Linked DNA regions of Struthio camelus. The protein of the gene in region 1 purifies or fractionates together with the protein of each later gene. This does not show direct contact. Links are inferred from orthologs where the notes say so. Each region holds a gene or a part of one and is shown in the gene's direction. Other genes may lie near its edges.

Evidence for each region.
Region 2: the proteins of OTUD5 (region 1) and CNP purify together in Homo sapiens (affinity purification with mass spectrometry; 3 studies listed by BioGRID, with this or other methods). This does not show direct contact. The link is inferred for Struthio camelus from reciprocal best matches to the Homo sapiens genes OTUD5 and CNP.
Region 3: the proteins of OTUD5 (region 1) and CTPS2 purify together in Homo sapiens (affinity purification with mass spectrometry; 3 studies listed by BioGRID and IntAct, with this or other methods). This does not show direct contact. The link is inferred for Struthio camelus from reciprocal best matches to the Homo sapiens genes OTUD5 and CTPS2.
Region 4: the proteins of OTUD5 (region 1) and KHDRBS1 purify together in Homo sapiens (affinity purification with mass spectrometry, with the first as the bait; 3 studies listed by BioGRID). This does not show direct contact. The link is inferred for Struthio camelus from reciprocal best matches to the Homo sapiens genes OTUD5 and KHDRBS1.

Annotation. Positions count from the first base shown.
Region 1 is NC_090979.1:307,321-315,165, reverse strand, and holds the start of OTUD5 (OTU domain-containing protein 5), read left to right. Parts: upstream 1-4,843; 5' UTR 4,844-4,858; coding exon 4,859-5,359; intron 5,360-6,373; coding exon 6,374-6,467; intron 6,468-6,771; coding exon 6,772-6,836; intron 6,837-7,211; coding exon 7,212-7,368; intron 7,369-7,489; coding exon 7,490-7,638; intron 7,639-7,845. Other genes in the region: CCDC120 (coiled-coil domain-containing protein 120), read left to right, coding at 1,327-1,420; EBP (3-beta-hydroxysteroid-Delta(8),Delta(7)-isomerase), read left to right, coding at 2,224-2,527, 2,938-2,974, 3,059-3,189, 3,526-3,734. UniProt on the Homo sapiens protein: Deubiquitinating enzyme that functions as a negative regulator of the innate immune system. Has peptidase activity towards 'Lys-48'- and 'Lys-63'-linked polyubiquitin chains. Can also cleave 'Lys-11'-linked ubiquitin chains (in vitro).
Region 2 is NC_090966.1:7,413,469-7,420,399, forward strand, and holds the start of CNP (2',3'-cyclic-nucleotide 3'-phosphodiesterase), read left to right. Parts: upstream 1-3,922; 5' UTR 3,923-4,041; coding exon 4,042-4,044; intron 4,045-4,051; exon of another isoform or gene 4,052-4,185; intron 4,186-6,613; coding exon 6,614-6,931. Other genes in the region: ODAD4 (outer dynein arm-docking complex subunit 4), read left to right, coding at 219-415, 591-691, 1,576-1,654, 3,378-3,646. UniProt on the Homo sapiens protein: Catalyzes the formation of 2'-nucleotide products from 2',3'-cyclic substrates. May participate in RNA metabolism in the myelinating cell, CNP is the third most abundant protein in central nervous system myelin.
Region 3 is NC_090942.1:138,824,689-138,832,185, forward strand, and holds the start of CTPS2 (CTP synthase 2), read left to right. Parts: upstream 1-4,483; 5' UTR 4,484-4,539; exon of another isoform or gene 4,540-4,705; coding exon of another isoform or gene 4,706-4,734; exon of another isoform or gene 4,735-4,877; intron 4,878-4,919; 5' UTR 4,920-5,203; intron 5,204-5,247; exon of another isoform or gene 5,248-5,917; intron 5,918-6,937; 5' UTR 6,938-7,021; intron 7,022-7,348; 5' UTR 7,349-7,434; coding exon 7,435-7,481; exon of another isoform or gene 7,482-7,497. Other genes in the region: SYAP1 (synapse-associated protein 1), read right to left, coding at 4,142-4,334. UniProt on the Homo sapiens protein: Catalyzes the ATP-dependent amination of UTP to CTP with either L-glutamine or ammonia as the source of nitrogen. Constitutes the rate-limiting enzyme in the synthesis of cytosine nucleotides.
Region 4 is NC_090964.1:8,675,245-8,683,142, reverse strand, and holds the start of KHDRBS1 (KH domain-containing, RNA-binding, signal transduction-associated protein 1), read left to right. Parts: upstream 1-4,898; 5' UTR 4,899-5,033; coding exon 5,034-5,127; intron 5,128-7,898. UniProt on the Homo sapiens protein: Recruited and tyrosine phosphorylated by several receptor systems, for example the T-cell, leptin and insulin receptors. Once phosphorylated, functions as an adapter protein in signal transduction cascades by binding to SH2 and SH3 domain-containing proteins.

The DNA of each region.
Region 1 (7,845 bases):
TCTGAAACCCTCCAATTGCCCCAATTTGGGGGCTTCCCCCCATTTTGGGGTCCCCAGCTCCTTTTAGGTCTTTCTTCCCTCTTTTTTTTTTGTTTGTTCTTTGCTTTTTTGTTGTTTTCAGGGAGCCCAGGTGTCCGGGGAGCCCCAAGGTGGGGGATGGGAGGGGCCCAGGCGTCCGGGCAGGCGCTGCTTTCCGGGGGGGGCCTAACCCTGTTCTCTTTTTTTCTCTCTCTTTTTTTCTTTGTTATTCCTTTTTTTGGACTTTTCTGTTTTTTCCACTCGTTTTTGTTTTGCTTTTTCTTCTCTTGTTCTGTTTTTGTTTCTTGTTTTTTTTTCTTATTTCTTTAATTGAGTCACTTTTTGTGTCTTCTTTTTTGGGTATTTTGCTTTTTTTTTTCATTTTTTTTCTTTGACTTTCATTCAATTTTTTTCCTTTTTTTTTTGCTTTTTTTCCTCTATTTTCCCCTTTTTTGTTCTCTTTGTTTTCCCCTTTTTACCTTTCCTTTCCTTTTCCTTGTTTCTTTCTGGTTTTCCTTTTTTCCTATGTTTCCTTTTTTGGTTTTCTCTTTTTTGTTTTCCTTTTTTCTCCATTTTCCTCCCTTTTTCTCCTACTTTTTCCCTTTTCCCCCTCTTTCCCCCCTTTCCCCCCCTTTCCCTCCTTCTACATTTCCCTTTTTTGCCCTTTTCCCCCCATTTCCCCCCAGGCCCCCAGGGGACCCCCCCGGGGCGGCCCCGCAACCCCCCGGCACCCTTGTGTGATCCGGGGCAGAGGGTGACCCAAACCTGGGGTGTTTTGGGGGGAAACAAGGGGAATTGGGGGCTGTACAGGGGGTTTGTACAATACACGAGGGACCTGCCACCTGCCTCCGGTGCCTTCTTGGGGGAAAAATGGCCAAAAGTGGGGCTTGGGGGGGAAGCGCCACCAATTTGAGGCTGGGGGAGCACTGCTACTGGCTCTGTTGCCTTCTTGGGGGAAAAAATGGCTGAAGTGAGGTTTTGGGGGAAAACGTCATGGATTTTGGAGGGGAAAGGGGAGGTGCCGCAGCCCTGCTGCCCCAGTCATGAAATGGGGCTGAAAACCACCCGTTTTGGGAGCAAACCGGCTTAGTGGAAAGAAAATGATTTGGGGGGAGAGAACCTGGTTTGGAGAAAACTGACTTGGGGAGGGAAACAACAATTGGAGGAAATAAATCCAATTTGGGGCAGAAACCCCGTTTGCAGGGTGGGGGGCTGAATTTGGCAGGGTGATGACATCATCACCTGGGAGCTGCACCCCTCTCTGACATCATCACTTGGGCCCTGCCCCTTTGTGATGTCATTGACTAGGCCCCGCCCCCACAGCCATGATGCCAGGAGGGATTCCCCCCTCTGGGGCAGTGACATCATCACCTGGGCTTGCTCTTCCCGTACCCGGTTCTGACGTCAGAAGCCTGCCTGCCGCTGACGTTATCGGCGCGGTGCGGGCCGCGGCACTGATGTCACCGCGGCCCCTGTGATGTCATCAGTGCTGCACAGGAGGCCCCGCCCCCCGGAGTGCGCTGGGGGCGGGGCCTCAGGGCCAAGGGGCGGGTCCTGAACAGCGCGGAAGCCACGCCCCTCGGCTTAAAGCCCCGCACCACCGCCTCCGGGAGCCCCCCCTCCATATATGGGCGCCGGCCCCGTCCCCGCCCCTGCCCCTGGCCCCACATCGCCTCACCCGCCCCCTCCGCCAATCAGCGCGGGGCGCGGGGGAGGGCGGGGGAGGTGCGGCGCGCCCCCATTGGCCGGGCGCGGCCTTGGCGCCGCCGCTGCCCATTGGCCGGCGCGGCGGAGCGGGGGCGGGGCGGCGGCAGGGCCCGAGGCGGCGGGGCCGCGCCGCGCGGGAGAGCTGCCGCGCTCCTGAGGTGAGCGATAGCGCGGGGCGGGGGGCGCGTTACCGGGCCGGGTTACCGGGCGGGGGCGGGGTCTGCCGGGCGGGGCCGGGAAGGGGTCTGCGGGGCCGGGGGTGCTACGGAGGGGTTAACGGGGCTGGGGGGGCGGCTAAGGCGCGGCTAACGGGGCTGGGGGGGCCGGAGGGGGTTAACGGCGGCTGGTGGGGCCTAACTGGGGTGGGGAGGCCGCTACGGGGATTAACGGGGCCGAGCGGGGGCTGTGGAGGGGATAACGGAGATGGGGGAGGGGCCACGCCGCCTCACGCCGGTCCTTCCCCACTCCCGCAGCGCAGCGCCCCGCCCCAACGTTGCCATGGCGACGCCGGCGCACCCCTATTGGCCGCGGGAGCTGTTGTTGCCGGGCTACGTGCCGAGCGCGCGGCCCGGGTGGCAGTGCGCAGGCGCGGTGGCGGCGGGCTGCGCCGGGCTGATGGCGCTGGGCTGGGCGCTGGGCGGGGCCCGGGGCGGGCCCCGAGGCGGGGCCCCGTTGAGCCCCGCCCGCCGGCTGGTGCTGGGCTGGTTCCTGCTGTGCGCGGGGGTGCACGGGATACTGGAGGGCTGGTTCAGCCTCCGCCACGGCGACCTGCCCGCCGCCACCGGGCCGCTCGCCGCCGTCTGTGAGTCGCTGCGGGACGCCTGGGCCCTTGCGGGGGGGGCGCCTAGGTCCCTTGAGGGAGGGTATATGGGGCTGGGGGTTGTCCCCCGAACACCTGGGCTCCATGGGGGGCTGTGTGGTGGAGGGGAAGGGTCCCCCGGACACCTGGGTCCCGGTTGGCTTCCCAAATGCCTGGTTCCTTTGGGGGGCTGTGTGGAGGAGGGGAGGGGTCCCCGGATGCCCGGGTCCCTGAGGGGGTGGGTTATGTGGGGGAAGGGGATCTATCCAGACTCATGGGTCCCCTGGATGCCCCTTGGACACCTGTGTCCCTTGGGGGGGTGGGTTATGTGGGGAAGGGTGTCCTACCCCTGGATTCCTGGTCCCCACCCCCCCCAATATCTGGGCCCCCTGTTAATCCCATGTTGCCCACAGGGAAGGAGTATGCTAAGGCCGACAGCCGCTACATGACGTGAGTCGGGGTGCTGCTGTGGGGGGTGGTGTGAGGGGCCCAGGTGTCCGGGTGCTGACCCCCATCTCTTCCCACCCCCTGCAGGAGCGATGACTTCACGGTTGCCATGGAGACGGTGACAGCCTGGGCTTGGGGCCCCCTCAGCTTCCTCACCTTCCTCGCCTTCCTGCGGCGCCACCCTGCCCGCTTTGTGCTGCAGCTCGTCGTCTCCCTTGGTAAGCCCGGACGCCTGGGTCCCCTGGGTAGGGTCTTGGGGTGGAGTGGGGTCACATGGGGTGGGGGGGTCACCTGGGTCCCTGGGGACTACTGGGTCCCTCCTAGTGAGTGAGGCCCATGTGGGTGGGGCAACCCGGATGCCTGGATCCTAGGAGGGTGGGCCTGGACACCTGGGTCCTTCCTAGACCCCTGGGTGGAGTCACGTGTTGGGGGGAGGGGTGGGGGCAGCCTAGATGCCTGGGTCCTTCTTCCATCCCCAGAGGGGTGGTGAGCCATGGGGTGGGGGCTGCTAGGGGTGTGGGGAAACGCTCAAACGCCTGGGTTCCGCCGCACAGGGCAGCTGTACGGCGACGTGCTGTACTTCGCCACGGCGGCGCGGGCGGGCTGGGTGCATGCCGACCCCCGGCCCTACTACTTTTGGGGCTACTTCGTGGGGCTCAACGGGATCTGGGTGCTGGTGCCTGGTGCCCTCATCGCCGATGCCTGGCGCCACCTGGGCACTGCCCAGCGCACCCTCGACCGCCCCCGCCACAAGGGCCACTGAGCCCCGGACGCCTGGGCCCCCTCCCTCCTCGGGGCTGGCCCACCTGCACCGTAGCCGATGGGATCCTCTCTGCGGAGCACCAGCGACGGCATGGAGCGCACCCGGACACCTGGGTCCCGCTGCCTGGGTGCCTAGCTCCCCTCTTGGAGGGGGCGACTCGGATGCCTGGGTTCTCTCAGGGCATGGGGGAGGGGTGCTGGGGGTCTCCCCCCCCCCCCTTTTCCTTTTCAGACACGATTTTAATAAATGAAGGTGGAAATTGGAGCCGAGATAGCGTGTTGTGTTTGGCAGGGGTGCCCTGACGCCTAGGTCACGGGAGTGGGGGGGTTCCCCAGACGCCTGGGTCCCTTTTAGGGGGAGGGGGCTCAGCTGGTAGGGAGGGGGAGGGAAGGGGTGGCCCCTGGGGAGTGATTGACAGCCGCGGGGCGGAGTTAGGGGTAGGGCCACTGCGGCATCGTCCCGCCTCCTGCAGCTGCCATCCAATGGGAAATTAGGTCGCGGCCGCAGCCAATAGGCGCGGCGGAGGCGGGGCCAGGAAGCGGAGCCGACGAGGGGGAGGCGGGCCCGCCCCCGCGGGGAGCAGCCAATCGCAAGGCGGCGGAGGGGGTGGGCACGCCTTGGCCCGGCCCCCCTTCTCGCCCCACCAATCCGCGCGCCGCACGGCCGCCAGCCAATGGCGGTGCCTTCCGCGCGCGCGCGCCGTCGCCACGGCGACGCCGGGCCCGTCCCTCCTCCTCCTGCGAGGCGGGGCCGGGGCCGGGCAGGCGGAGCGAGGAGGTGCCGAGGGGGCGGGACTTCCCCCCGAGCGCTGTAGCCAATGGCGACGCGGCGTGTGCGGCGGCGCCCAATGGGCGCGGCGCGCGGGGCGGAAGCGAGCGCGCGCGGCGGCGGGGTCAGAGGGCGGCTCTGTTGATGTTGACACCAGGCCGGGGCCCTCGCGGCGGCGGCGGAGGCGAGGGTAGGGGAGGGGTGGGGGTGCTGGCCGCAGTACGGGCGCCGCCGAGGATCAAAAAGCCCCTGAGGCGGCGCAGCGCGCGGCCGCCCCGCGGCCTGCACCGGGCGGCGGCGGCGGCCGGTAACGGGGCGGGCGGGGGGGCGCCGGGGGGGTCCATGCGGCCGCCGCCATGACGATCCTGCCCAAGAAGAAGCCGTGCCCGGCCCCCGACGCCGATCCGGACGCCGGCCCCGATTCGCACCCGGAGCCGGGGCCTAGCGGCGGCGGCGGCGGTCCCAACGCGGAGGGCGGCGGCGGCGGCGGCGGCCCCCGACCTCGGGCCTCGCCGCCGCCGCCGCTGCGGGGCTGGGCGGCCGCCGGCGCCTCGCCGCCGCCGCCGCCCGCTGCCGCCGCCGCCGGCTCCGGGAACGGCGGCGGCGACGGCGGCCCCGGAGGGCTGCTGGGGCTGGAGGGGGCCGAGGCGCGCGGCGTCATGGCGGCGGCCGTGGTGGCGGCGGGCGGCGGCCCCGGGCTCAGCAAGCGGCGGCGGCGCGGCGGCCCCGGGCCCGGGCCCGGGCCCAGCGGCGGCGGCGGCAGCCCCGGCCCGGATGAGGCCGGCGGTGGCGGCTACAACAGCGAGGATGAGTACGAGGCGGCGCGGGTGGAGCTGGACCCGGCCACGGCCGAGCAGGTGCCGCCACCGGGGGGGACGCGGGGGACACTGGGGGGCACCGGCTGGCCTGGTTTTGCCCCCTTGCATCGTGGGGGTGGCGCGGAGTTGGGGGGGTCGCGCGAGTCCCCGTGTGACATGTGGGGCCTGATGGTGCCACACGTGTGTGACACGGGCTGGTGGTGTCATGTGTGTCCCCATGTGACATGTGGGGCCTGATGGTGCCACGCAGGTGTCATGGGTTGGGGGGTTGCACATGTCCCTGTGGGACATGTGGGGCCTGATGCTGGCACATGTGTGTGGTATGGGCTGACAGTGTCATGTGTGTTTCTGTGTGACACATGGGGCTGGCACCACCACATGTCTGTGCTGCCGTGTGTGTCCCTGTGTGACACAGGAGCTGGGGGTGCCACATGCATCCCTGTATGGCCCGGGGAGGTGGCACTTCTACATGCATGTGACACAGGGTGCTGGCACTGTCCCGTCTGTCATAGGAGGGCCCCCGGGCCCCCCTGCCTGTCCCTGCGTCCCACAGGGGCTGGTCACTGTCACGCATGTGCCGTCCCATTGTGCAGGGAGGGTGGCGCTGTCACATGCATGTCACCATGTCCCACAGGGGACTGTGCAAGGGTGGGTACATTATGTCACGTGTGCCTGTCACCCGTGTCCTGGCCGTGTTGTGTGTGTGTGTGTCTGGTCGAGGGCTGCTGCCACGTGTGTCATTGCATGATGTGGAAGAAGCATGTCCCTGTTGCGCGTGTCTTCATGTCATGCAGGGCCTTGCCCTTATGTCACATGTGAGGCCTTGTTAGATGCGGCCTCATGTCACACAGGGTTGCGTCCTTGTGTTGCATGTGCACGTACAGGGTTGTGTTGTGCAGGGACGTGGCCTCATGTCACATGCGTCCTCGTGTTACTTGTGTCCCGTGGGGGCTGGTCTCTGTCCCGCGTGCCCTGGCATGGTGCAGGCTGCTGGTGGGGTGGGGGGTCCTGCCCGGATGCTGGGGCCCCGGCTGAGCCCAGCTCTGTCTCCAGCAGGAGCACCGGTTCGAGAAGGCACTGCGCGAGAAGAAAGGCTTCATCATTAAGCGCATGAAGGAGGATGGCGCCTGCCTCTTCCGGGCCGTGGGTGAGCCACCGCTGTCCCGTGTCACCCCACTGCCATCCCGTGTCACCCCACAGTCATCCCAATGCTGTTCCGTGTCACCCTGTGGCCGTCCTGTGTCACCCCGCGGCCGTCCTGCAGCCGTCCTGTGTCACCCCACATCTGTCCTGCATCTCTCCTGTGTCACCTCGCGTCACACCCTGTGCCCATCCCGCGCTGCCTCCCCTGCACGTTCGCCCGCCCCAGGCGCCCGGGGCAGGGACCCAGGCATCCGGGCGCAGGCACTGACCCCGCGCCCCGTTGCTGTCGCGCTGTCCCCCACCTGCAGCCGACCAGGTGTACGGAGACCAGGACATGCACGAGGTGGTGCGCAAGCACTGTATGGACTACCTGGTGAGTGGCCCTGTGTTGCTGTCCCCACCCCTGCCAGGCCCTGTCCCCCTGGCATTCCCACGTGTCCACTGGGGTCCCCCATGTCCTCTGCCAGGCTGGATCCCCCTGGGGTCCCCCTGTGTTCCCTGGTGTCCCTTGCCAGACTGTGTCCCCCTGGGGTCCCCTCAGTCCCCCCAGTTGTTCCGTGCCACCTTGGGGCTGTCCTCATGTCCCCAGGGTCCCCCTGTGCTCCCCAGTGTCCCCAGGGCTGCCCTGGGGTCCTCGGCATCCCTAGTTGTCCCCTGCCACCCTGGTGTCCCCTCTGTCCCCTCTGGGGGGGGTCCTGGCGGTGGCAGTCCCCGTGGTGGCGTGGCCCAGCGCTGGTGGCCCGCACAGATGAAGAACGCCGACTACTTTTCCAACTACGTGACGGAGGACTTCACCACCTACATCAACCGCAAGCGCAAGAGCACCTGCCACGGCAACCACATTGAGATGCAGGCCATGGCCGAGATGTACAACCGCCCCGTGGAGGTCTACCAGTACGGCACTGGTGAGTGATATGGCCATGGGGTGGTGGAGGAGCAGGATGTGGACACCAGGGTCCACGGGGTGGTGGTGAGGTCCCCGGTGTCCGTGGGGGTCCCTGGGGTGCTGACGTGGGGGTCCCACAGAGCCCATCAACACCTTCCACGGGATCCAGCACAACGAGGACGAACCGATCCGGGTGAGCTACCACCGTAACATCCACTACAACTCCGTGGTGAACCCCAACAAGGCCACCATCGGCGTGGGGCTGGGGCTGCCTTCCTTCAAGCCGGGGGTGAGTTGCAGGAGGGGGTCGCCGTGGGGTTAGGGGGGTCCCGGTGGCCACCGTGGGGCTGGGAGAGTCCTTGGGGCCACCATGGAGCTGGGGGATCCCATGGGCTACCATGGGGTTGTGGAGATGCCTCAGGCCACCATGGGGCTGGGGGGGGGGTCCCTGAGGAGGCCATGGGGCCACTGTGGGCCTGGGGGTCCTCAGGGTGTC
Region 2 (6,931 bases), on another chromosome or scaffold:
CAATACAGATAGCAATGGCTTTAAAACCCATCATCAGTCTGGAGTTCTCCAGATTTTATTGCTTGGTCTTTTTCTAAATACGTAGCAGATCTCAACGTAGAATAACTTTTCATAATAGCAGCATCTGGAACCCTTTGTTTATAGAACCAGCGGTTGAAATTATAACAGCACTTAGTGAAATTCAGTAAAAGTCTCTCTCTCTTACTCTCTGCTTGAAGTTGGGAGGAGAAGATTCCAATGGCAAAATCCAGCCTGGAGAAGACCTGGTTGTTCCATGAACTTGGCCGATGTTACCTTGAGCTGAACAAAGCTGAAGAAGCCCAAAATTACGGAGAGAAGTCCCTGCATTCAGCAGATGAGGAGGGAGATGTTGAGTGGCAACTCAATGCTGGTGTACTGGTGGCACAAGCACAAGGTAAAGAAGTTGGTACCTCTATATTCACCATCTTAATGGGAACATTTCTGGGATTTAACAACTAAAGTAACTGTTCAGATAAAACTTTTCATGGTAGATTTGCCTAACTAACCAGTTGTTTTTCTCCTGTTTGCGATCTTAGTTTAAAATAGATGTTTTTGTTTGTTGGTTACAGTAAAATTAAAGGATTACCAGGCTGCAATCCTCAACTTTGAAAAAGCACTTGAGAAGGCAAAGCTTATTCACAATGATGATGCTCAACAGGCCATCATTATTGTAAGTGGCATGTTGCAAAGAGGAGAGAAGCTTGGGGCAGAACTAATAAGTTAGCTATAACTATCGTTCTAATGTCATGAGGACAGAGAAATTGTCACTAGACAGTTACAGCATTAAAAGGGGGACAATACTGTCTCTGAAGTAGTTTACATAATGAAAGATATGAAGTCTTCTGGCTTGGAAAACTTAATCTCTGTTTGTGAACCAGTACAACATACCGAGGGGTGAAGTCCTGGCCCTGTTTGGGTCAAGGGAAATTTTTCTTTTGACCTGCTTGGGGCAAGGGTTTCACACTGAGTATACAGTGGTGTCTCCTCTGCATTCAGTTGCTAACAGCTGGAACGTAGGGTTGACGACAACTCACCTTTTTCTGGCCTCTCCAAGGCATCCCAGAGAAACCACTTTGCATCAGACCATGGAAGAACATCTAGGGCACAGCCATTGTCCCAGGCATAAAACAGTCTGTCTGTTACAGCAGTCTGTCTTCCTTGGTCTGCCAGTGAGTTGCATGTGATCTTCCTGACCAGGTCACACAGCACTGGGCTCACCAGGCATCTAAATCACAAGACAGCACAGTTACAGCATAAACACCTACCTGTTTGGGGATGCCTCATGGGTGTCCGAAGCTCAAGCAGAACCTACTCTCCTGCATGAAGAAAAATGATAGTGTGTGTGAGAGAGAACTTTCAGGGGAGGAGACATTTGATAAGGGATACTAAGAGATATTAACAACCTTTGCAGGGGATAAGTGAAGCATATTGTTGCAGAGAGTTTTAAGGTAGTGAAGGAGCAAGTAACGATAGTAGAAATCAAAAGAAAACAAACTTGGACAGATCTGTAGCTGTATTTCTAAAGCCCTTATTAACAAGCCATATCACTTTCAGGCCTTAGATGACGTGAGCAAAAGCTTCATCAAAGAGCTGAAAGAAGGAGAAAGAGAAACGACAGCTGATTCTCCTAAAGGTAGCTATTATCTAGACCTCTGCACCACGTACATTTAAAAATTCCTCACTTCCCTTTTCTGGGGGACAGACTGAGACGTTGGAAGCAAAGCACCTACTACCTTCAGTAAAAGGACTGCATATCTGTCACCCAGATTTGCTGCAGTCAGTGTCTCAGGGCCTGAGGTCCAACCAGCTCAGGTTCCTTTAATTTTCTGTGCATCATAAAACTACTGCTTTCAGCATGGTGCTCTTGCAGTGAAAATACAGATGAGGACTTGGCATGTTACTGTGCTGTCCAGAGAACAGGCTTTTTACTCTGAGCAGCAATAAAGCAACTGCTCCATTGCCAGATAGCTGACATCCAAATTTCTGGACTGCATGCATCCTCTGTACCGGTACACTGTAGCAGGGATTATTTGATATGTGAAGCCATAACCTAGCGAAAACTTGTGGCTTTAGTTTTTTGGCAGTGAGGGTTTAATATTGATATTTTGGTATAACCTAGAGTAAATCTCATTCAAGTGAAGCCTTGCTAACTAAACTAATAATAGTGAAGGAGCTTAATTTCACTCTTCAGTGCCATCTGTATAAAAAGCTGTTTCTAAAAACATTGAAAGCAGCTCCAGTGCCCAGAGTGCATAACGGTGGGCCTAGTCAGAAGCAAAATAGCGTCAAAATGTGACTGTAAAAGTGACTGTGAAGGAGGGAGATTCACAGTGCTGAGGCCTTCAAAAACCTCAGCTGGATTTTAAAATCCACATAATATAGATGTATGCAGTTTTCTCCCACCATCTAAACAACGATACGTACTACCAAGCATCTGCAGCACGAAGCATGACAGCATAAGCTATCTACAGGTACAGGACAAACAGTTCCTCATCTCAACACATGTAGCCCCCCGCCCCGAGTGCAACTTAATGCAAGCAGTATCCTTTCAGCCTCAACTGGCAGGGCTGCAAAAAAGAAGGGAGCAGGCCTTACTCCTTGTAGTTGTAGCATCCTCCTGGTTATCTGGGTTGAAGCCCCTGACTGAGGGGACAAACTGAAGTCTTGGAACTCTGCTTCCAAGTAGCACCATGCTCATCTAAGGGCTCTATCAATTCTGAGCAGGAGATGGCAGCGTTTCTCACGTTTCCTCTTTGCGCGCGCAGGGAATAAAGTTTGTGCACAGCACAGTGCTTCTTGCACTGCAAGCGTAGGAAAGCTTCCTCCTCGGTCGGAACAGAGCAAACTCCCTCACACCTACTGAGCAGTAGGAGCACCTGCATGCAGTGACGGATAGCCCTGGAGCAGTGTGTACTGCTTAATACATACATGCCCCAGACATCCAGGGCTCAGGGCTAATCACGTTAAACTTTTCTGGGTCAAATGCTGCAATTTTGAACGATCAAGGGAAAGTCCAAGCCTTCCATCTCTGACCATCACTTTTCTAGCAACACCTTCCTCAGGGCCCTCTGTTACCAACATATTCACCGTATGTTCATTTTGTTACAGTTGATTAATTCAGACCGATGTACCTGCCAGTCCCTGGTTTCTGTTCACTTTAGATCATGCAGCTTAGCTTCTTACACCATCGGTAGACGGAGTCTTGTGAGACAGAAAACAAAGAGAAGAGTTTTCCGACTGTGGTGAAGGAGGCCAGGAGCCTTTCTTCTTTTTTTTTTTGTACCCTATTGATTGCTCAGTGCTGGAACTTGGTTTAAAATTGCTTTCTTCCCCCCCCCCCCCCCCCCCCCCCGCAGATGATGATTACAGCAGTGAATACACAGAAGACAACTCCAAGAACACAGAGAGAGAGGAAAGTGAGGAAAGTGAACAAAGCATAGAGAATCAGACAAACGAAAAGCAAAAGGAAGATGCCACGAACAGCGAAGAGGAGCATGGAAACGATAGAGAAGAGGGAAGGAAACAAGAAAATGAGGAGAGCAAGAGCAACGAAGGAGAAAAAGAAGAGACGAGTACAGGGGAAAGAGAAGATGATGAAAATCAGCACTACTCTGCATCCGAGTAGAGTAGCGCTTCCTGAGGAGTTAGGCAGTAGAATTAAATGTTGTGCTGCGATGTTGGTTTTACAAGCGAGAGCTCTCCCCTTTGCTGCGTCTGGACAGCGGCTCAGTCCAGGAGTCTGCAGACGTTCGCGTCGCGCTCGGCCCCCGCAGCGTGCCCACGTCTGCTGGCAGCCCCCGGCACGGACGCAGCTCGCTGCCGGCCCCGCGTCCCCCGGAGCAGGGAGCTCGGCGGGCTCCAGGCGCGGCTGCTCCGCCCCTGCGCAGCCGCCGGGCGGTGCCGCGGGGCGGGGGGGCGCCGCGCTATGAAAGGGGCCGCGGCCGCCGCCGCCCCAGAGCCGCTTCCCCGCCGCGCCGCGCCGCTCCGCACCGGCGGCCGCCCGGAGCCGCTGCCCTCACCATGGTGAGCGCCGGGGCCGGGGCCGGGCGGCAGCTCCTGCCGCACCGCTTTCGGTTTCGGTTCTGGTTCCGGGTCCCGGCGGGGTGGAAGCGGGCGGGGCGGAGCCGGGCACCGCGGAGCGCACGGTACCGGCGGAGCCCGGGGGTAACTCGGGGCGCGCACGGTAGCGGCGGCGGTGGCCGGGGGGGGGGGGAACTCGGGGCGCCGGGGCGCGCACGGTAGCGGCGGCGTCGGGAGGGTATCGGGGGTAATTCGGGGCACCGGGGCGCGCACGGTACCGGCGGCGCCCGAGGGGTAACTCGGAGCCCCGGGGGCCGCAGCGGTTCCTCGCCCGGCCCGGTGCCACCTTCAAGCCGTACCCCGGCCCCCGTGTGCCTCCCGGCCGGGGCCGGCGCGGCAGAGCCTGGAGCTTCCCCCGGGAGGGAGCCCGGGACAAGCGGGAGCTTTGTGGGGTCGCGGACGGGCGAGGGGGTCGCGCTGAATCGGGGATTGTTCGCCCGGCGGAGCCCCGCGCTCCCCCGAGCCCGGCCTCTGTAGTGCCATTGTCCGGCCGCGCTGTACGCGGCCCCCTTTCATAAAGGCGAGCATTATATTTAAAGCTGGCTGCTAAACAATGGGTCCTGAGGGTGTTTTCTATTATTGTTCTTTTGTTTATGCATCTGAAAAGCAGCCTCAGTTACTGCTGCTCACCAGCAGCTGCTTTCAGCAAAATAGTTTGACTGCCACAGTCACAGGCCAAGCCCTGTGCTGGGCACACGTAGCCGCCTCGCCCTCCGGCCACAGCAACAGCAAGTCAAGATACTCCTCCTACTCCCCCGCTCAGGCCAAAGGCCCCTAACCTCTTCGAAAACATAACACTTACACTTGGAGGATGAGCAGTTTCCTGGGACGTCTCACGGCGTCTGTTTTTCTTGCACTCGTCCACAGGCATCGGAGGAAGCCAAAGTACTTGTCCTCTTGTATGATGACTTGGGAACCCCGAGCCCTCAGGGAAGCCAGTGTAGGTGTCCCAACAGAGATGCACGCTCCTTGTTTTTCTTGGATCCCGTTCCTGGGGCAGGAATTCCGCACCAGTCTCGAGCGGGGAGATTGCTGCTCCAAGGACTGTGCTTGGAGCTTGTCATCCCCCCACAAGAGGCCTGACTTGCTGCACAGCGAACATGAAAACAATGCTGGTGCACAGTCCTTGTCCCAGGCTGCTTCGAAACCAAAAACCCAGCTCCAAATTCTAGAATGAAGGGTAGAAAGAGAAGTTAATCAGTTGAAATAGTTGGTTTTCCTACAATGTCCTCACCCTGCAGTCAAGCAGTATTCTTCTGCCACGAGCAGAATATTTATGTAGTATGTAAATCCCCTAGATTTTTGGGTCAGTGGCAAATACTGCTCTTTCAGTATCGCATCTGTGGTTTCTTGACTGCTGGTACAGAGCTCGTGTCTCAATAACAGGAGGTTGTGGCAGGCAGCAGAGTCGAGACTGGTTTGTGGCAAGGATGCAGCTGGGGAGAGAAGTTGGAGAGTTCATGTATTAACCAAAAAGATGGTTGTCCCTATTGGCATTACCAGAACCTTAGACAAATTCCTTGTTTTCATCAAATCTCTGATTTTCCTAGGTCCTGCTGAGAATTACTCTTAGATACCAGTTATTGCATCTGGTGGCAAAAGGGGAAGGAGGAACAGTGCCAGCTCTCGGTTGGTGCTTTTCCTGTCTTGCTTGGTGGTGTCAAGCTCAAGCATTTGTTTTGTTGCTGAGAGGATGGGTTTAACTTTCAGTTCAGGAAATGCTAAGAGCAGGTTTGCTTTTGCCTGAAGCAATATAAGTTCTGTACGAGACCAGCCCAAAATTCCCCCTTCTGAGGCATAAGGGTGCTGCTGTTCAGTGTAGCGTCCAGGCGCAAAGGGAAGGCGATTCTTAACATGATGTAGTCTCCTTGCAGGCTTTACTCTGAAACAGCCTTTCCTACGTGACTGGAGAATTCCTAAACCGGCTTAAATCCGTTTGTAGTCTTTATTTGGATTAATCAATGAAACTTGAGCAGCTGTCACACCTCCCAGGACATTCGTTTCCCCTTTTCAGGACAAGTTCCCCATGGCATGCAGTCTCTTTGTAAACGAGCAGCCGCAAGCGTTGGTTTAAATGTCCTGAAATAAATTTGACCCTTCAACTGCTCTGTCTGGGCTTCAGCTTTGCGGGGGCTCACGGGCGCCTGCTGCTACCACGTGACAGTAAAACTTGCACTTCCATGTCAGATGGTACTGTGGCTGCCACCGGTGGCCAGTGAAGGCCTGAGCCAGAAGGGTGAGCGGGGCTGCCCCTCCGCTCCTCCTCCTCTTGCCCCCGTGTCAGGAAGGCGGCAGGACAACACGGTGCCTCCTGCGGGACCCGTGGTGGCAGCTGTGAGACTGGTGTGAGCCAAGCAGGGCAGCCGAGGTGGCACAGACGTGTTCCCAGAGCTGTTCACGACCCTCCGAGCACAGCCCTCCTCCCTCCCCCTAAAGGTCTGCTGTTGCGTAGTAGAAATACGCTGTCTCTCAGGATTGCTAGCCTACAAAATATTTTCTTATTGAATTTCAGAACAGAGGCTTTTCAAAGAAGAGTCACACGTTCCTGCCTAAGATATTTAGAAAAATGTCTACTCAGTCAGCCAAAGAAAGGCCTGAAAGCTTGCAGTACCCATTCCTTGATGATGATGATACCATCTCCACAGTTAAAGAATCTAAAACCTTTTTTATTTTAAGAGGCCTGCCTGGCAGTGGAAAGTCCACTCTGGCCCAGGCTATTCAAGATAGATATAAAGATGCCTGCAAGGTGATTTCTGTCGATACCTATAAAATTGTACCTGCAATAAGAAGCACTGTTCCTGAAGAGTATTCAAAGGTTGATGAGGATCTA
Region 3 (7,497 bases), on another chromosome or scaffold:
TTTACAGATGAGAAGAGAAAGAGCTGAAAAACATCTCTTTACATCCAATTCTCTTGCTAGATTTCTTTTATCTTTCTATGTTTGGATACCTACTTGAAGTTTTCTTTCAGAATTGTTTAACCTAGCTTCCTGTCTTCTTGTCTACAAAGAACTCCTAAAATCTTGTTCATCCGTTTCTAGTTCTTGTTCTTTAGTTATGTAACTGTACGTTTGATCAAAAGCGTCTGTAAACCATAAACTATCATGTCTTAAACTTGTTTACTAAACCAAACATTCCTAATAGTCCTTGAAATGCTGCTCTCCAATCAATTTTCTGAAGCAATATCTTTCATAACTTCAATTATTTAAGTAATATTCAGACATTAAACAATGCAGTAGCTTTACCAACATGAGGAAAACAGTTTTTTTTTAAATTAAGAAAATCAACATGCACAATAAAGTCTCGTGAAGTGAATGAGTCAACAAACGCATAAAAAATTTCTGGTAGGTAAGACTTCAAATCTCTTCAGAAGTCTTAAGGTAGAAGATTGCTTTTGATGTTGCCCCTTTTCTATTTTGCATTGTCTTTCTTAACTTCATTAGAAATAACGTGGCTCTTGATTTTTCTGAATGGCGTCAAAACAGCAGTAACAAATACTTTCTAAAACTCTAACTATTGTTTTTTATACCAGCTGCGCTGAACTGAAGAAAGGTGTCAAGAAAAGAACCATATAGCACAAACAGTTGTCCTGTATTGTTATTTTTTAACTAAGAGGTCAGAACATACTGAGAAGGCAATCATTAAAATGTAAATCATTAACCTTCAAAAACAGTAAATACCAATTTATTGACAAAGTACCTTAAAACAATATTTAATTAGTTTATTTCACGGATCGTTACACAACATCATAAGCACTATACTAAACTGATGTACTATGTCTGATTTCATAATTACAGTATATACAATCTCAGTAAGTGCCTGTAATTTAGGCTTGTAGAAAGATATAATGGTGTTTTTGAGCTGTATGGTAACTATCAAAGGCATATTTCAGGCATAAGAAAGAATGCAAAGCATGTGGGATAGCAAGGATCTTTCAGTTATTCTAAAAAAATAACTTTTACATAGGGGACTTAAAAACAGACAGCACTTGCTTGGGGCGAGGCAGGAGGGAAGAAAACACGTATCTTCCTTTTCAGGACCTCCCAAAAATTTGAGTTGCATTAAAGGTTAGAAATGTAAAAAATAACCTTAGCATCTGAAAAAAACCTGAGTTGTTTTAACACACACAGCTGTCAACGACTAACAGAACGGATTGCTTTGGAGTAGTCACGTTACTTTTTGCAAAGCTGGCTGCTGTTCTTCGTGGCTTATAAACTATTCTTTCTTAATGATACGGCCAAAGTTGTTCTGAAAAATGCAGAGGTCTAGCCAGTCCTTAAGAAAACCAGTTTTCTAAATGTAACTTCCCCTCGTAAGTCACAGAATAGTGACAATCAAAATTCCTCCCAGTACTTGCTAACATCTTCGGTTTATCAGGCTTTACATCACATCACAAGCTTCATATTGCATATAAAAATACCTATCTTACACTTTGTATATACACACACACGCAGAGTACACTCTTTACGAAAGTAGAGGAGGCAGCAGCCTACTGCATCATTTCCCCCCAACTTTTATTTGTTGCTTTATGCATCCCTGGGAGCTTTCTTGTATACAATTGTTTCGGATGCAAAAGATCCTGAAACATTTGTTGTCACAGGTGATGTATCTTACGCTACAACACAGCAACTTTTTGGTATAGTTGAGCAAAGTGGTTTTGGCCGGTCTTATGGCTAGAACTGAAACTAATCTGAACAGAAAATGTTTTTTCTTTCTATTAAGGACAGGTGTTCTTCTTATGCTAAAGTACTTATAAAGCCTGAACAGGAAGCAGTACTAGGCCTAGTGAACCAGTGGTGCAAAAACAATACTTCCCCTACCTCCCACTTCCAAAACTACGTCTGTATTAAGAGTATTTGACAAGAAATATTTCTGTTTTTAGTTCATATTGGCAAACTCTCCAACCATAGATGATGCTAGGCTGGCAATGCTACCTTTTGTAATAACACGGTAACGAGCATACAAACAGTATGTGTAAGATTTCAGTTTTACTGGTAGAATTCTTTATGAGCTAGGGAAATCTGTCCACACAATTATGCTGCTTGTTAACCATAGAGATGGCTCAAGAGTTATCATGTCTTAGAACAGTAATGTCTAACTGCTGTTAAAAAGAAGACCTTTCTACCACAATCTTCTTGCGTCACAGACATGGACGGACACAGACATGCCAAATCCATGGATCACTAGATCAAATTCTTACTCCCAGAGCAAATTAATTCTCAGAAATTGAATCTGAAGGAGTCATATCATTTACAGATTACTGTGTTTACTGTTATGGGATGGACATCTAAATGCATGACAGTCAATACTTGTTCTTCCCCTGAAAATTCAGTCTTTTTTCCCTCCTCAGCAGTCAAGGTGAGCACTGGATTAGGATCTACTTACAATACTAAATAGACAAACATCTGTGACCAACTTACGCAGATAATCTGCTGCTGCTCAGAAAGTCCAAGGCAAACTACCTTCAGGAACCATTTCAGAATAAGCTTTCTAGAGATACCAATTCAGCAGTTCAGAGCACCAGCAACAAACACTTCAATAATAGTGTTCCACTTTGTATGAATTTTATCTCAGAACCTACTACCGTAAAACAGAATACTTATTTACATCTAATTACAGCCCTGTCTCATCACAGATGAGTTTAACAAAAGTTAAAGTATTTCTACACAAAAAATCATGCAAAACCCACAACACTTCAAAGTATATTATTCTGCATGCTCACATCACTTTTCCCATAGTCAGACCAGAATAACAGATACCTAAAGAAATACTGCTCATTTAACAACTTTTCTAAGAAAGATAATAACTGAACTGTTTGCAGTCAATGTCTTAATGCCTATTTCAAACATACAACAATTTCTAAAATGATTTTTCATTTCCAGTGTGGCAACATCCTTCAACAGCGCACAGAATTGTTAGCAACTCACTTAAACACTTCTTGCTGTCAGCTATTGTTATTTAAAAGGAATCTCTAACCATAACTTTGTTTTTTGGACTCTATGAGATCCAGCACACTTTCAAACTTCCAGCTTTATCAGTTGCAGGGGACTGTTTCATAATTGTGGAGTAGACTGTAGGATAAACTCTAACTTGTGAAATGCATAGTAGTGATGTATGCCATAGACCCCCGTTAACAAATATGGTTTTAAAAACATACAAAATGGGAACCTATACGGGAACATCAGACAACAAAAGGGTAGAGAAGAATGGCTTTTAACACATTCTTCGCTGAGAGCACTTTACAGACTAGCTAAGGTGATGTGAATTACTGTTTACATCTGGAAAGATATGCTTCTCTCTCTCTCTTTTTTTTTTTTTTTTTTGAAAAGGAGTATTCTCGTTATCTTATAAGCTTGTATTCCCCCTTTCACATCACTAAGCAAGCTACATAAGAGTTGTAGTCATCTAGATGAAAAAGAGATTTTTCTTTTTACTTTGCTGAACTGAGAATAAACATGCTTAATTCAATTTAAAACCAATTTGTTCCTACTTAGCTCAGTTAGAGCTTTGCTCTAAGTGAAAGTGATAACTATTTCTAATTTCTGCTGAAACCCCTAAAAATGCCCTAAACTAGCCTACCTTTGCTCCTGCAGTTGCTGCTCTGTGTTAATGTCACCGTACAAAGATAGTTTTATTGCTTTAAAATCACTTTTTTTTTTAAACACTAACACCACTCCCCAGGGTAGGTGAGCAAAGCCACGACACCCCTCCATCTCCCCCTCGAAGAAAAGGGAAACTATTCCTTTACTCAAGCCTTACAGTGAACAACGCTGTGTGTGTACGGCGGGTGGGAAGCACCACCTGGAGCGCCCCATCTCTCCGCCACCTCGCAGGCCGGCCCGGCGTACGGCGCGGGCACACGACCGGCTGGGGTCGCACCGAGAGGTGTGTTGGGAGGGGCGCTTTTCGGTCAGGCGCAGCGGCGCCTCGGCCGGTGCCAGGCCCAGGCCGCCTCCTCCCGGCTCGCCCCCCCGCCGGCGGCGGCATAGGCAGGACACTCACTGCCGAGTCCCTTGGCCTGGCTGAGGAGCGGGTCCGAGTCCGCCTGCAGCTCCACCTGCTCCTGGCTCCGCGCGGCCGGCTCCTCGCCCGTGCCCGCATCCGCGGGGTTGCTCCGGCTCCCCTCCTCGGCCGGCAGCAACTTCTCCTCGGCTGCCCGCTCCAGGCCCAGCCAACTGCCTAGGCCGCGCAACATGGCGCAGGGGCGGCCGCGGCCGCGCTGGGCGGTTACCGGCTACTCCTAACGGCACGGGCGAGGCGCTCTCTATGCGGAACCCGAGCCTCCCCGCTCCTTCCGCATACGCCACTTCCGGCCGCCTCAGGAAGGGGGGCGCTCTAGCCTGCGTCCCGTATGGCCCCAAAGGGCGGGGATAGGCGGAGCAGCGGAGCTGGCGCGCCAGGTAGGAAGAGCGCCGCTCGCGAGGGGCGGGGAGGCGTGTCGAGCTGGGTGCGCGGCCGCCGCGGGGCACCTGCCCCACGCGGTAGCCGCTGGGCCAAGCGGCGCGTGTGCAGACACGCACGCACGCAGCCACACCACCACCGCCACCACCCACGCGGTTTCTCTGTATGCATCTCCCGCGGAAGACGTACGGCAGGTAGCTGCCCCTTGCTGCCACCAGCGCGTGAGGGTTTACCCGGTCTTGACTAGCAGAAAGCGAGCGAGGCTCGTTCGCTGTGTACCGGTGGCGCCTGGGTAAGCGCTTGCCGCCGGAGGCCTGGGAAAAAGCTGGGGAAAGAGGTGGGCAAAAGGCAGTAGATAACCCTCTATTTCTTTTTTCAGTGTAATGCCTCTGGTCTTTAGGGAGATGCTTCTTTTCCCTCCAAAGACTTGCTTCTGTTTGAAAATCTCCTGCTGTGTGGTTACTTCAGTATTTAGAACTGCCTAGAGAGGCTGGTGACCTGGTTTACCTGAGCACAAAGTTTGATTCTGCTCATGCACGCCAGTACCTAACTTTACCACTTTAAATACAGTGACTGAAGCCCGTGCCCTTTGGGGTAAGCGTTTACACGAGTGTTTGCACGGGTGAGGCCGTACGCTGTAATCACACCATGCTGGCAGCCAAGGTAAGTCAGGGTATTTTACCCTGCTTTTTGCCTTTACCTTGCAGCAGAGCTGGCAGAAGGTCCCACTTTGCTTCAGATGGTCTGATATGTGACAAATCCCACCAAACTGCATCCTTATGTGATGCGGACGGATGTTTAAAGGTCCCAGAAAACGTTTAAACCGGGTTTTTGTCAACTAGCCAAGTTGAGAAGACAACTGCTCTGTGTTTTCAGGACTGAAGTCAGTATGCGTGCAGAACTTCAGGCCCTACAGCCAGCTTGTTTCCCAGTAAGGACATCTCATCTTCATCTTCGGGCGGCTGCTTTCTTTAATCATCCGTTTTTTTTTTTTAAGCCGTCTGCACAGGCCCTGAGCGTGGCTCACGTGAGAGCGGGCCCGCACCGGCACTTTCCCCCTCCCGCTTCTGCCCTCCCGCCCGCGAAGGGAGCTCGGCGCCCGGCGCTTCCCCCCCCCCCCCCCCCCGCCGTCCTGCGGGCCGAGGTGTCCCCCCCTCCCCCCCAGCGGTGCCGCAGCAGCGTCCCTCGGGCCGCCCCCAACGGCCGCCGCCCCCAACGGCCGCCGCCCCCGCGCCGGAACGGAGCTGAGGTAACGGCCGGCCGGCCGCCCGCGCCGTGTCCCGTCGGGGCGGGGGGAGCAGCCCCTCTCGTGGCGCGGGCGCGGGGCCGGACGCGTCCGCGGAGGCGGGCGGCCCCTGCGCAGAGCGCGGTACTGAGGTGAGACACGGCGGCGCCCCTGAGGCCCCGGGGCAGGGCTGTGAGCCGCCCCCTCGCTGTGGCGGCGCCGGGTGGGGAGGCCGGCCCGCCCCGGCCGTGCTGGCCCGCGGCGCTGTCGTTAGGAGCAGGCGGGGCGCGCAGCAAGCTGGTCGTCGGTCAAGCGCGGCGGGGGTCCTCAACGCCCTCGAGAGCGAAAGCGCCAATCCAGTAAAGGGCAAAATTATTCTCCAGCGATTGTCCTGACTTACAAAACGCGTTCCCCCTCCTGCTGAGTGCGGTTTCCAGCTCTCAGCGTCACCAGCGAGCGCAGAATAAATCTTCGCCACAACGGCTGTAGTTTGTTCCTTAGTATAGGGCAGCACATTTGGCGTAGAGTTCTCCGAAATCTGTGCTGAAGAAAGTATGCTCCTGCTGGTAGGGCTAAGTGAAGTAGTTTGTGTTTCTGTGTGTCTGATTGTGCTGATTTACAATCCCCCACGAAGTGCTTGCTGCCAGTATTCTCTTTTTGCTTTTCCTCCCCTAACTCTATTTAAAATTCCTTCTCCTTTTGCAACTTACAAGCACTATTGTCCTCGCACTACTAGTACTACTTATGCTACTACAAGTAATATACATATTCCAGTTCTTTCCAGTCGGTATAAGTGCAGTTATTAACTGAAAACACAGAAATTAAAACTGCACTGTGCGTCTTCGCTAGTGAAGTTGATGGAGGAAAGGCAATAACTCGAGTTGCTGCCCAGAGTAGTCTAGCTGCCCTTTTCAATGGCGCTTGTGACTTCCCAAACACTTTTTTTTCCTCTCCTTTTTTTCTGTTGGAAGTATTTTCTATTGCAAGTAAGCAGTGTATTTCCTTAAGCTGTTGGGCAATCTCTATTCCTGCAGAAATTACAGTGAACTTTTAATTTTGGTTCCAGTCAGTGAGGTGATAGCATTTGCAAGCTTTGATCTGCCAGCTATTCAAGATTTACACGTGTTATTGACTAAATTTATTTCTTTTTTCTCCTTTTTTTCTGGAAATAGCTTTGAAAGAGGCTTAGACGGTTACAAAATGCTAATGTTGAGAACGTTATCTGATTTATAAAGGAAGAGTCTGAAACACAGGAGGTATGCTCCAAATCTTAAAACCTGTGCTTATTTAAAAAAAAAAAAGTTACATATTAAGAAAAATTTAGTAGTAGGGAAAACTGGAGTCCTGGTGACAGGGAATAGTTTTCTTTTCTCCTCTGTAGACCACGCTTTCATGCTTTGTGGGTCTTTAAATTTGTCCAAATTAATTCCTGATTTTGCTTGTTTTATGAAATTAATGCCTATTAAATTTTTCAGTTCTTGATATGCCTTATGTTATTGTGAATTTATGTCACTGGCATGTTTGCAAATAACAAGGGGGAATGTTCCTCTTTTTTCTTCTTTTTTCTTTTTGTTTTCCATTAGTGTTTGGTGTGAGCCCACCCATCACCCGTCTGAATAAATTCCAAGGGTCCTTTTCTTCTGAGAATCATCTTTTTGTTTGAAGTTGCATGCTTCTGATGGCTATCATCTCCCCTTTGTCCACACTGACAAGGAAGTAATAGTTTTTTAAA
Region 4 (7,898 bases), on another chromosome or scaffold:
ACGGGCCCTTCCACGCCAGCACCCTCCCCCCCCGCCGCCGCGCAATGGTACAGCCCGCTCCCCCCACCCAGCCGCAATGGTTGCCCCCCCCGGCGGTTCCCACGGCTTCCGCTTCCGCCGCCCCTCGGGGCCCGGCAGGCCGCCTCCGCCGCCGCGGCACGGAAGTACCCAACGCGCAGCGGCCGGGAGCTGCCGCCGGGGAGGAGCGGCCGCCGGGTTTGTGCCGGTCAGCGAAGAGCGACTCCGTTTCGTTATTTTTGGGGGGAGAGTAGGAGGGAGGGGAGCTTATGGCAAAAACCCTGCAAACGTCACCGTTTCTGGACTGCGGGCAACCCAGAACAATCGCCTGGAGAGACATAAGCGTTTCTGTCTCTTTTTTCAAATGGAGCGTTCCCGTGCTGCTAGGGACGTTTAAGGGCGGCGGGACAAAGGCAGGATCTGAAGCCGTGTCCCCGTCGCCAGGCTTTGGTCGGGGCTGCCGATGTCGTCCCCGGGGTGAGGTTGCCCAACAGACGTCCACAGGCATGTGCCCGCTTTGCATTTTGTCTGCGAAGCGCAATCCAGACGGCGGCGTCTGTGTTCTCCGTTGACACCGCAGCACCGCTCGAGTAGGGCAGAAACATGAAAGAACAAAGTGACCCAGGAAGGCGAGCAGATGCCCAGCTTGCTCGGGGCGCCCGGGGCAGGGCGGCACAGCCGGGAGCCAGGAGCAGGTTCACATGGCCAGGGCAGCCCTGACCCTGCACACGGTGAAACAAAAATCAATGAATGACCCATTGATCCGCTTCCCTGCGGGCGGGTGGAGCGCCGGATACCAGTGACTCAGAGTTTGGTCTGAGCAGGATCCTGACCCTTCTCACAGCCTGGGCTCTGCGCCTGGCTTGGAGCCATCCAGAGCAGGAAGCCTTGCACTTGGCGAGGGCCTGTCCCGGCCACGTGGCATTAAGTAACCAAAGGTGACACCCCGTCTGGTACTAACCAGACGGCACCAGGCTGCATCATACCCTGAGCTTAACCCTTCCTGACATCATGCAGTTTTATCAGTGCGCGTGTGACTCCATGTAGTAGTACATGGCTTCTGTGCGCAGTGTTTGTGCAACAGGGCTTCAGCACCTCCTTCCCCAGGTGAGGCCTGGCTTCCTCATCCTGCCAGGAAAACACTTTCTGTGCCTGTCATCAGCCTGCTGAGAGTCAGAAAGACCATTCAAAACACGCCAGTCCTAGACAGGGTAACAAAATGCTACACAGGGCCAGCACAGAGAACCCCTTAGTCAAGATGCACTGCCGAGCGCAGAGAAGGGCTGTGTTGCCAGGCAAGAAGCTAGATTTTCCTGAGCAGAGGGTGACGTTTTCTCCCCTAAAAGTGCCCTGTTGATAGAGCGTGGCTGCAAGGGGACCCTGGGCCTGCAGCAGCCTGCCCCAATGGCGTGCCAGACCCCACTAGAGGGCATCAGGACATCGCACAGGGCTGGGCCTGGGACTGCTCCAATCTCCCAGGAGGCGGAAATATTTAGCCATGGGATGGAAATCACCGAGGCTCGTAAAGCTCCCTAAGAATAGCAGGGTTAGCGTCTCAGAGGCTAGCTAGCATTTATTAATCCACTGTAACAAGAAGTACCTTCATTTGGAGCCAGGGACTAACACTTCCTTTCCTGCCAGCTGAGATAAAAATGCTGGAGCAAAGGACAGACACAGGAGAGGCAGCCCATTCCCGCTGGCATCACTGCTGCCTCTGGTCCAGCTGAACAAGTGGGCGGCTGCACTGGAAGTGGCACCAGCGAGAGCTGGAACAAGAGTTCTTCTGTTCTCAGCTCCAGCAGCAAACCCTCCTCAGGGCCCCTCGCCTGAGCACACATCGGTGGCTCCGTGACGCACACCCATTTGCATAATGCACAATGTCTAGAGCTCCAGGCCCGCCGGGCCTCTTCCTCTTCTGCAGCAAAACAAAGGCATTCTCTCAAAGACCTAGCTGATTAACGACCCTGTCATCTCAGCAGCAGGGAATAACTGCAGAAGCAATCACATCCACATAAGCTTTTATCAGCTGCTCTCCTAAGATACCCACAGGAGAACAGACACGCGGAAGACAGAGCAGGGGTGGCCATGCACTCAGGCCCAAACTAGACCCATCTCTGTTCTATTCCCCATTCTCCTTCCCTGTAAGGAAGGAATGTCTCAGCCCCTGGGCACCCTGAGCAGATTTGGACAATCCAAGTAGAAGAGAAAGAAGGTAGAAGTAACTTAAATTTACAGATGGGGAACTGAATGGTTACGCAAAGTGTCCAGCTTCACTCAGGAAGCCTCAGCAGAGCTGGAAACTGGTCCCAGATCTCCTGATTCCAAGTCCAGGGCCCCATCAGGCAACCTTCCTCTAAAAATTAAAACTCTAAAGGAGCCAAATGCACCTTTCTCCTCCCCCTCACTCCCAAAGTTCTTGGAGGAACGGGTCAAATGTAAACAGCTAATGACAGCTGCCTTCCATAGCAGCACCAGCATAGCAAAGGGGCTGGTCATAGGAAGATGTGAGCTACACGTGCTCTGGGAGCCTGACTGAGGCAGCAGGTGGAAGCCCTGGGGTGATGACAGCCCTTTACCAGGAGCAGAGCTAACACATCCCAGCTCTCGGAAGGTCCCATGGCATTTACAAGCGAAGCAGCTGGCAGCTGTGTGTTTGGATGGGACAGGGAAGGCAGGCAGGGAAAGAGAATCTTGTTGAAAATTTATAAGAATGACATAAAGATGTACAACTGGGATGAAGAAAAAGAGACAATATGTGAAAGAGAACTGAGAAGGAAGGAACAGAACAGGCACCGAGATCTGCACCTGCACATGGCAGGGACCCACACTGCTCTAAAGCCGTCAGTGGCGGCAGCTCCCTTACACAGGCAGGGCTTTATGTTCACAAGCTGCACAGCCATTCACTACAAAGTGACAGGGTTGCACAGGTTCAGTGGAGCTGTTCCGAAACAGCACCCTGGAGGCAAGAGAGACAGAACGAGATTCAGGCTGTGTTACCTGATGATGTCGGAGGCTACGTCTGTCCACGCACATCAGCTCCAACAACGTACAGAGAAGGCTGCTGCAGAGAGTGATCTATCACAAGACAGCCAGAGATAAAATGAGTTTGCCATGCTTCCTTAACAGGCTGAAGTAGATGTGTAATTTCAAGAATTGTAAAAGCTGGTAAGTCTTCCTGCTATGTTCTTGAGCTATGAATGTCAATCTATTAATAAACAAAAGCCACATCTGATACTAACTTAAGGGGTTGCAGCGCCTGAGATAGGTCCTGCATGCTAGTTAAGTAAAAGCTGCCTCCAAAAAACCACAGCAACAGAATCTCTGCACCCAAGGGGCCTTCACACGTGTGATCATCCTGACTGGAAAAAAAAAGCGTTCAGTTCTTCTTTGCTGGGTTTCAGGATGGTACAGATAATCCTTTCCTCATTAACTCCACCCCAGCAACTCTAACTGGAGTTTCTAAACTTCTGACAATGCTAGTTCATACGAGAGCTTTTACTCCCTCTCCAGCCCTGCACGACAACAACCAGCTCCCATGAAGGAGGCAAGTACTCTCTTCAAGCCCAGCACAGGGCTACCAGGATGGGTAGGCCAGGGGCTCAGCTCCCATATGGGCCCTGCCGAGGCCCCGTACGGCAGCACAGGGCCATGAGGGCAGGCAGGGGAAGGCTCAGCTCCCACACAGGCACTGCTGAGGCCCCGTACCACAGCACAGGGCCATGAGGGCAGGCAGGGGAAAGCTCAGCTCCCACACAGGTGCTGCCAAGGCCCCATACTGCAGCACAGGGCCACAGGGGCAGGCAGGGGAAGGCTCAGCTCCCACACAGGTGCTGCCAAGGCCCCAGGCAGGCAGGGGAAGGCTCAGCTCCCACACAGGCACTGCTGAGGCCTCATACCACAGCACACGGCTGCAGGGGCAGGTAGGCCAAGGACCCAACTCCCAAAGCAGGCTGTGCCCCGCTCACCACGCCCACCGAGGCCCAGGCACTTTGCGCTGCCCAAGGCACTGCCCCGCCGTCACTCTCGGGCCGCAGCCCGGGCCGGAGCCCCTCCGCCACCCCAGGGCCTACGACACGCCTCGCACCTCACGCCTATCTCCACAGAGACGCACAGCCACAGGGCGCATGCGCGCCAGCCGCTTTGTTCTCGAGCGGGCAGCCACTGCGCATGCGCAACACAGACCTTCCCCCCCCCCACACACACACACACATATACACACATACACGCAGGCGCTGTGAATCCCCTGCGGGATAAGTTTCTCGGCAGCTGGTGACTAATGTCACACCGCTGCATCTGCGCATGCGCAGTCAGGGCAGCGGGGCGGCCGTCGCTCCCCACGTGTCGCTTTCCGCTTTCGCGGGCCCGGCACTGCGCATGCGTCCCAAGAGCGCGCCTCGTTCCCGCGGGCGGCGGGCGGCGCACGCGCGGCCCAGGGGGCGGGCCGTGAGGAGCGCGGCGGGGCGGGGCGGGGTGGGGAGGGGGGTGGCGCGCGGCTGCGTGCCGGCGCAGGCGCAGAGGCGCGCGGGGTGGTCGCGCGGGAGCTGCGGCGGAGTGGGGGGGGGCGGGGAAGTGCGGGGGGGGGGAGTGAGAGAGAGGGAGAGGGAGGGAGGGAGAGAGCGGCAGAAGGGGGGGGCGGTCCTTCCGGCCCCTCACTTCCGGCCGTGGCGCCGCGGCGGACGGTGTGGCAGCGCCGCGCTCGGCCCGCTCCGCGCCCGCCGCCGCCCCCCGCCGCCCGCATGCAGCGCCGTGACGACCCCGCCGCCCGCCTGGGCCGGGGGCCGGGCCCCGGCGGCGCCCGGCAAGGGGCGCCCCCCCCGCGGCGGCCGCCCCGCGGAGGAGGAGGAGGAGGAGGTGGCGGCGGAGGAGGAGGAGGAGGAGGTGGGGGGGGCCGAGGCGCCGCCGCCACCGGGGCGCAGCCGCCGCCGCTCCTACCGCCCAGCGCCACAGCGGCCGCCTCGGCCGCCCAGGCCCCCGCCGCCGCCCCCACCCCGCTGCTGCCGGGGGCCGCCGTCAAGATGGAGCCCGAGAACAAATACCTGCCGGAGTTGATGGCCGAGAAGGACAGCCTCGACCCGTCCTTCACGCACGCCATGCAGCTCCTCACGGCAGGTACCGCGGCCGGGGGGGCGGCGGGCAGGGCGGGGGGGGGGGCCCGGCCGCCGCTGACCCCTCTTGGCCGCCCTGCCCGGGGCTGCGAGCGCCGAGGGCCCCCGGGGAGCGGCCCCGGGTGAGATGCGCCCCGCCTCCCTCGGTGGTGGGGGGGTTACCGAGATATTTCTATTATTTAATCTCTGTTTAGCGCCCTCCCCCTCCTCCGTGCTTAGCCTGGATTAAGCACAAACCTAGAACTTTCTTTTTGATAAGCAAGGTACGGTCGTGTTCCCCCTTTTCGTCCCTGGGGGAAGAGGGGACCCGAGAGAACGGTGAAGACTGGGGTTTTCCAGGTAGCGTCTGCTGGAGCCCCTGCGAGGCGTGATTTGTGATCTCTTTGCATTTCTACTCTGGAAATCCGTATTAGAGCTTGTTTCATGCTTTTGATGAGCCTAAATAGGGAATGGAAATGGCAGTCTTTGTTCTGTGCCCAGACTAGCCTTCTCCTTCCCCATCACCACTGTCCAATCGCCTGGCGGCTCTGATTTCTCCCTATCTCTCCAGTGCAGCTGCTGCACCCGCATTTGGTGGCTGTATCAAGTAGACTCAGCTGCCTCACGACACTGTAGTTAGCTTAAAAATTGGAACAAGTTAAGCAATTTCTGCCACTTACTGCTTAATGTGCATGGAGTGGAGAGCTGGGATGTGCTCAGCACAAGAAGGATGAACTCGGATTCGATTTACAGATGAGCAGAGTGCTTAGCTCTCTAGTTATTACCATTCTGTTTCTAAATGTTTTTTTTTAAACAGTCTTTAAAGTATGTAATGTGGCTGTAATCGTTGCAGTGCTAGAGACTTTATTAAGACTTGCTGTCTCCCATTGTACAAGTAACTGAGATATGTCAATGTCATGAGTGACTTGGCATCGCTCATGGGCATCTTGATCTCCATAAATCAGTTTTATAGTCTGATTTGCCACAATTTTTTTTTATTAATAAAACCCTTTAGCCAGCTGATGCTCAACAGCTCTGTGATAATGCCTTGCGGTGAAATGAAACCTAAGGAATTTGCTAATTCCTGCTCAAAGAACAGCGTTCTCATCCCATTTAGCAAAGCTTCATTCACTGAGTGCTGTCGCAAGGATTTATGAGTTTTTCATCAATTTAAAAATTGCTGATAGTAGAGCGCAGCTTTGTGAGACTTAGGATTGATCATTGGAAGAGCTCCAGATGCTTCTGCCTTGCTTTGGTTATTTGAAAATTCCTGTCCTTTGGGAGCATTCACTAGGCAGCCCAAACTTAGGGCGATCTAAGCAGGAGGCTCGTGAGAGAGAATCTGAAATAAAGCCACCGTTTTAGGAGCCTCTTTTTGCACAGATGACCAGCTGTTCCCCAACTGACCTGGATTGCTCAGAATTTCTCTACTGCTGTGGCACCCTTTGAGTATGTCGTGTTGAAGAGCCAGCTGAAAAATCTCACTTTGGAATTTAAGTCTGGGTCAAAGATTGTAATGCGTGTGTGCAGCGTGACTTCATCAAAATGATTTTTCAGACAGGCTTTCAAAACGACTGGTCACGGAACAGCAGCAGTATCCCTATCCCTATGCCAGCCTTTTCTCAAGAATGCAAGTTCATGCTGCATTCCGGAGGAACTCCTGCAGGAGTTCTGCACTGAAACTAAGACATCTTGTTTAAAAACAGTATTTTAAAGTAGTCCAAAATACTTGTGTGGTTCTAGTGCTGCTTAGCTTTTCTGAAAGAAATCAGCATTGTTTAGGAGCAAGATGAAGGGCAACGCAGTGACATAATCCTAATTCTTGAACAATGGGCTGTGTGATCAAAAGGGAGAAAAGTGGCTACCTTTTAGGGTTCTGTAGCACAGCACCCCGAATAGAAATCGAAAACTGGGGTTTCTTACCCTTTGGAATAGGATCCATGTCTCCTCACTTTTATGACTCGGGGTCTACATGGCCTTCCCTTTCCATAGGAACAAGAAAATCCCTTTCCCTCACTTTGATTTATGCCCTTCATCTGTTGCGGGGGCAGGGGGGATGCTGATGCTTTGAAAGGCGCAATTTTCTCTGCTTATGTGCATTGGGAGGATGGGAGACATCTACCGATGTAAGTGTTAGCCAGGCATGTTTTTTTCAAGTTCATGTGTTAATCTTAGCAAGCTCTCTTCATTTCATGGTGGAACTCTCCTTGAAAAGAGCAGGCCTCTTCACCTCTGAGCTTCCAGTGCTACAAATAAATGTGTAAGCCCCATCTCCGCTCCACTAATGGATCTCTACATTGCTAGCATCTAATTGGTCCTCATGTTAAATGCAGCCCTTTACCTCCCCAGACACGTAGAGTGGTGAGGAGGGATGGAGATGGATGGTGAGGGCTAAGTTCAGAGCAATAGGTAACTCGAGGTATTCGAGTAAACCCATGAAGGAAGGAAGCTCTGAGCAATTGGAGTTAGATCAAAACATTGCACAGTAGAGAGCGGCTTGAGAAGTTGAAGGAATCCTCAGAAGAATACCCTGCTGACTCTGCTGATTCTTGTGCCAGAGTTATTTAATCTGTATGTATTCCTAGGAAGAACACGGATGGTGGAAACATAGGCTGTATGGGAAAGTCAGATGGATGGGCAGTGGCCTCGCTGGAGTAACTTGCCAAGGAACCAAACAGTGGGATTAGAGATGGGCTGAGGTCACAGGGGTGATGAGAAACTGTATATAACCCAAAGCGATAGAATGTCCTGAGGCTTTCTCAGCATGGGGTTAAGGCTGTCCTGAAATGGAGGAGA